Sus scrofa: one gene and its partner. Each later gene encodes a partner of the first gene's protein in a complex. Links are inferred from orthologs where the notes say so. Each region holds a gene or a part of one and is shown in the gene's direction. Other genes may lie near its edges.

Region 1 (3,522 bases):
TTAGCTTTTTGCCTGAGTGAATTTAATTAGTCTCTTAATGAAAAAAGTTACATTTGGATATATGTATATGTACATATATGCTTATATATGGATTTGTATATAAATGTATTTGGAAACCAAACTAGATCAGGGCAATAGCAGTATTTTGACTACTAATTTGAATGGAAACAATCTGTTTTGGGGTTTTTATACCTGGAAAGAAATGTGTTTGTATGGAATACAGTATCTCAAAGAAAATAAATTTGTGCTTGCTTCCTCTTTTGTATACTTCAGAGGTCTCTTTTATCAAAGCTTTTATGCACTGCCAGTTGTTTATAAGTAGATTAATATATAAGTTGTAATCCATGAGCTTTTTTTAACACCAGAGAGGAGTTAAATGAATCATATGTCTGTTAATATTTTATGCATCCTTTAATTTGCTCTTTATTTATTTATTTATTTATTTTTGTCTTTTTGCCATTTCTTGGGCCGCTCCCGCGGCATATGGAGGTTCCCAGGCTAGGGGTGGAATTGGAGCTACAGCTGCCGGCCTACACCATAGCAATAGCAACGCCGTATCCTTAACCCACTGAGTAAGGCCAGGTATCAAGCCTGTGTCCTCATGGATACTAGCCACAACGGGAACTTCTTCATATTTGTATATAAAGTAAATTTTTCCTTAAATATTGCTTCATCACAGATAACCCTAACTTTTAAGGTCATGCTGACTGTCAAAGCCAGAATATCCCCAAACCTAGGGCTTATCGACAACAGAACTACCCTGGGAGCGTTGTCTGTGCACTGGTGTTTGGTCTGCAGGCTCTTCGCTACTGGCTTGCAGTGAATACAGCAATTGAGGCTAAAACTTTATAGATGTTTATAGTAATTCTATCTTGTCATGACAGTGAAGAGCCTTTTAAATTATATTCTATAAAAGTATGGTTCTGTAAAGGATTAGTATTTTTCTTTCTTTTTTTAGGGCCAGAGGTGTGGCATATGGAAGTTCCCAGACTAGGGGTCAAATAGGAGCTGTAGCCACTGACCTACACCACAGCCATAACAATGCAGGATCCAAGCCGCGTCTGCGACCTACACCGAAGCTCACGGCAACGCCAGATCCTTAACCTACGGAGTGGGGCCAGGGATCGAACCTGAGTCCTCGTAGGTACCACTGAGCCCCAAAGGAAACTTCTAAGAAAAAGAAAAGAGAAAAGGACCTTTTATGGCTCTGATAGTTTAGGAAGCCTCCTTTGCATGCACATGTTGGAGGGCAAGTGTGTGCCTCCTGCAAAAGCTGCCTCTGTCTAAAGAAGCTGTAAAGAATGCAGATGTGTTTTTTTGGTTTAAATCATTCCTAGAATTCACGTTTCTAAATGTTTGATTTTTCTCTTTATAGCATATTGTTTGCAGACGGTGACTGAAGATAATCCAGAGCTACTAAAGTCTTTCAGTGCCCCAGCTTTGCATGTTTTGGAATCAGCAATGCTTTCTCCGGTCAATTCCACGGAATATATTCTATTAAAGACATTGGTGGCAGGTAAAATGTAGCCATATGCGATAGTGTGCTCCTTCCTTCCTTCCTTCCTTTCTTTTTGTCTTTTTTGCCATTTCTTGAGCCGCTCCCTCGGCATATGGAGGTTCCCAGGCTAGGGGTCAAATCAGAGCTGTAGCTGCCGGCCTACACCAGAGCCATAGCAACGCCAGATCCCAGCTGCATCTTCCACCTACACCACAGCTCACGGCAATGCCAGATCCTTAACCCACTGAGCAAGGGCAGAGATCGAACCCGCAACCTCATGGTCCCTAGTCGGATTCATTAACCACTGCGCTGAGAGGGGAACTCCTATTTTTTTTTTTTAAATTTACTTTTCTTTTTTTTTTTGCTTTATAGGGCCGCACCTGTGGCACATGGAGGTTCCCAGGCTAGGTATCCAATCGGAGCTGTAGCCATCAGCCTACGCCAGAGCCACAGCAACACAGGATCTGAGCCATGTCTGCAACCTTCACCACTGCTCATGGCAATGCCGGATCTTAACCTACTGAGCGAGGCCGGGAATCGAACCTACAACCTCATGGTTCCTATTCAGATTTGTTAACCACTCAGCCACGACGAGAACTCCCATTCTTTCATTTCATCACATCAGGGCTTTGTGTGCTCACGTTTGTTTTGAAACTTCTAATATTTAAGTAGCCCCCAGTTCAAGCAGTTTTGCATAATTTCAGAGCCTTCTGAGACTAGATTGGTTTTCAATTTACCAAACTACTGTTGTCTGATAAATGATGTTCTCAGGACCCCCTCCCCCTGCCTATTTATAAACCATGGAGTTCGGAAGTTGACCGTAGGCCTCTTTTCTATAAAACCTTCACCCAGCACTTCTCCCATGAATTTCTAAATACACAAATAAGAAATAACCTGATGACATGTCGAGTAATAGTAATTTATTTTGTATTTTCCTCTTGCCCTTTAGTCTTGGAGGGATTTATCTTAAGAGGAGTTTGGTTTTTTTTTTTCCCCCCTCCTAAACTGGTAAAATACACATAACATAAATTTTACCATTGTAACCATTTTTAAGTGTATAGTTTAGTGGTGTGGAGTATGTTCACATTGTTGTATGACCAATCTCCAGAGTGCTTTTTTTCTCTTTAAAAAAAATTTTTTTTTGCTTTTTTTTTTTTTAGGGCCACACCTGTGGCCTGTGGAAGTTCCAAGGCTAGGGGTCAAATTGGAGCTGCTGCTGCTGGCCTACACCACAGCCACACGGATCCGAGCCACTTCAACTACCTACACCATAGCTCATGGCAACGCCAGATCTTTAACCCACTGAGCAAGACCAGGGATTGAACCCGTATCCTCATGGATACTAATTGAATTTGTTTCCACTACACAACAACAGGAACTCCTTAAAAATTTTTTATTGAGGTATAGTTGATTTACAGTGTTGTGTGCCAATTTTTGGCTTACAGCAAAGTGACCCAGTCATACAAATACATACATTCTTTTTCTCATATTATCCTTCATCCAGAGCACTTTTCACCTTCCACAACCGAAACTCCATACCCATTAAAACAACCCCCCTTTTCTCCCTCCTCTATGCTCCCCAAAATGCTATTCTCCTTTCTCTCTCAATGCATTTGATGACTCTAGGTGCCTCATATAAGTGGAATCATATAGTATTTTTCTTTTAGTGACTGGCTTCTTTCATTTAGCATAATAAAACTTTCATCCATGTGGTAGCACATGACAGAATTTCCTTCCCACTTTTTGTTTTGGTCTTTTGTCCTTTTTTTTTTTTTTTTTTTTTTTTAGGGCTGCATCTGTGGCATACTGAGGTTCCCATGCTAGGGGTCCAATCGGAGCTACAGCTGCCAGGCTACACCACACCTCACGGCAATGCCAGATCCTTAACCCACTGAGTGAGGCCAGGGGTCAAACCCCGTAACCTCATGAATCCTAGTCTAATTCATTTCCGCTGTGCCACAATGGGAACTCCCTTTTTCTAATTTCTTTTTTGACCACCTTTTGGCATGTAGAGTTGACAGGCC
Region 2 (2,325 bases), on another chromosome or scaffold:
GGTAGCCAAGACTGCCCATTTTCAGCAAAAATGGGAATCATTTTGGGCATCGTGAAGATGGGATTTCAAGCATAAGATATATATATAACCTGTACTTGCGTAAAATGTGTTTTGACTTTTGAATGGTTTTTTAAAGTAACTCGAAATAGCATCTCTGGAATGCCAGTAAAGATTGAAATGATAGTCACAATTCCTTAAGCCGAACACAGGAAGTTCTCTTGGTGCATGACAATGGTTAATGTACTCTGTAGCGTTGCTTCTCAGTTTTCCTGGGCATTGTTAGACATGCTGGATCTCAGGTCCCACCTTAATCTTACTGAATTAGAATTTACATTTTAACAAGATCCCCAAGTGCTTTGTATGTACTTAAGTTTGAGAAGAAAGGGATGTAGGGCTCTAGACCCCACATCGTTGAAGGGATGTGTACTGATGGAAATTGTTAATATGAGAGTTGAACGCTAGATTTTTACTAGATCATAATGGTGGACACCATTAAATAATATATATATTCTTGTTTCATAGCCAAAGAAAAAGAAAAATATCTCTCATGATACTTTTGGTACAACTTATGGAAGGATTCATATGCAGAAGCAAGACCTAAGCAAACTACAAACCAGGAAAATGAAGGGGCTGAAGAAGCGACCTGCAGAAAGGATAACAGAGGACCAGGAGAAAAAAGCAAAGAGAATTAAAAAGAATTGATGGAACTTCACCAATAACTGCATTTTTATTTTTAGCCTTTACCTAATGAGAATTATCAAGTGGTGATTTCTTACAAGATTTTATATATTTTTATAACTTGATGATTTCATCTCAACTATATATTATATATATTATGAACAGTAACATTCTAGTATTAGGTTGGAAGTTAGCCTCCTACTTGAGATACTACATTCTGATACGCTGTTTTCTTCCTGTGATGTGATATTTCCCTCTCCCCACCCCCCAACAGGGTCCTCTGTCTCATTTGGTAGGTGAGTGAGGAGTGATCTCCAGAATAACCAGTGGTATTTTAGAGAATTTTGGACTAAGTTTTAGATAAAGGGAGGAGAGTCCTGGAGAGTAGAAATGGTCCAAGGTAACTACATGCTTAGTATGAGCTGCCTGGAAAGTTGACCCCAGCTCCAAACAGACACCTATAGCCTGAATTTTATTTTTGACTTTCCTGTTATTTTGCCTGTAATTCTACCTGTTCTCTAATCTCATTTTGAGATTTTAAGCTCTGTCTTAAAACATAGGTCTCTAAGAGAGGTGTCTACTACCTGATCATATTTCTTTCTTTTTTTTTTTTTTTTTGTCTTTTTGTCGTTTTTTGTTGTTGTTGTTGTTGTTGTTACTATTTCTTGGGCCGCTCCCGCGGCATATAGAGGTTCCCAGGCTAGGGGTTGAATCGGAGCTGTAGCCACCGGCCTACGCCAGAGCCACAGCAACGAGGGATCCGAGCCGAATCTGCAACCTACACCACAGCTCACGGCAACGCCGGATCGTTAACCCACTGAGCAAGGGCAGGGACCTAACCCGCAACCTCATGGTTCCAACCATTTTGACATTTTCTTGAAGCCTGACCTTGTGCCTAGGAAAATGGGAAAACACCTTCTATTTCTTCCTCCTAGAAATACCAACTTATTTGCCATAAGTTTAGAATTTAGTTTCCTTGATTAACTAACTCCCTGGCAGAGAAGCTCCCTTATACACAGAAAAACAAATGCCTTTGTTTTCAGTTCTTTGTCAAGGAGCCCCTCCATGCCTATGTGTACGTGTGTTTATGTGAGTTTGTTGACATGAAACAAAAGCTGGAACCTCAATTTTGCTTCCTGCATCCTTTCTCTTCTCTTGTAAACCCATTCTTTGGCCCTCCCTCTCCCTAAGCCTTTCCAAATGCCTAATATTCTCCTCGTCCCTATAAAAATGAGGGAGCTGTTGTCACTCACACTGTTGCCTGATTGTTCACTTAAAACAAAGACTGCAGTTTTAGATCTGAAGCAGGTATTTGTATTTTATGGCTAAATGGGATAAAGGGCTAAGTTAAAATGATTCATATCCTGCCTTCTGCATATAGATGGACAATGGTTGGGGAGAAGGGGCGTCAAGAAAGGAGCATCCGAAGTGGTGGGTGCACAGTCCTTCCCCAGGGCCTGACCTCTGCCTGGTCCAGGTAATGCTAATGGAGGTAGTGATTTAGGAAGGAGGCAAAGCAGTGGGTCTTCACCAGCTACGTACGGGAAGGACCCTGCCACACTGGGCAGTTAGCATCATAACCCCATGCCATCTTGGGCCCATTCGGTTCCTCCTGTCCTTCAGCTGACCCATCCTAGGGTAGTAAAT

Evidence for each region. The genes of interacting proteins can lie anywhere in the genome.
Region 2: HEATR3 (region 1) and RPF2 share a complex: the UniProt entries of both Homo sapiens proteins name them as parts of the hexameric 5S RNP precursor complex. The link is inferred for Sus scrofa from reciprocal best matches to the Homo sapiens genes HEATR3 and RPF2.

The regions. Positions count from the first base shown.
Region 1 is NC_010448.4:34,745,651-34,749,172, reverse strand, and holds part of HEATR3 (HEAT repeat-containing protein 3), read left to right. Parts: intron 1-1,375; coding exon 1,376-1,516; intron 1,517-3,522. UniProt on the Homo sapiens protein: Plays a role in ribosome biogenesis and in nuclear import of the 60S ribosomal protein L5/large ribosomal subunit protein uL18 (RPL5). Required for proper erythrocyte maturation.
Region 2 is NC_010443.5:76,957,423-76,959,747, forward strand, and holds the end of RPF2 (ribosome production factor 2 homolog), read left to right. Parts: intron 1-522; coding exon 523-702; 3' UTR 703-1,805; downstream 1,806-2,325. UniProt on the Homo sapiens protein: Involved in ribosomal large subunit assembly. May regulate the localization of the 5S RNP/5S ribonucleoprotein particle to the nucleolus.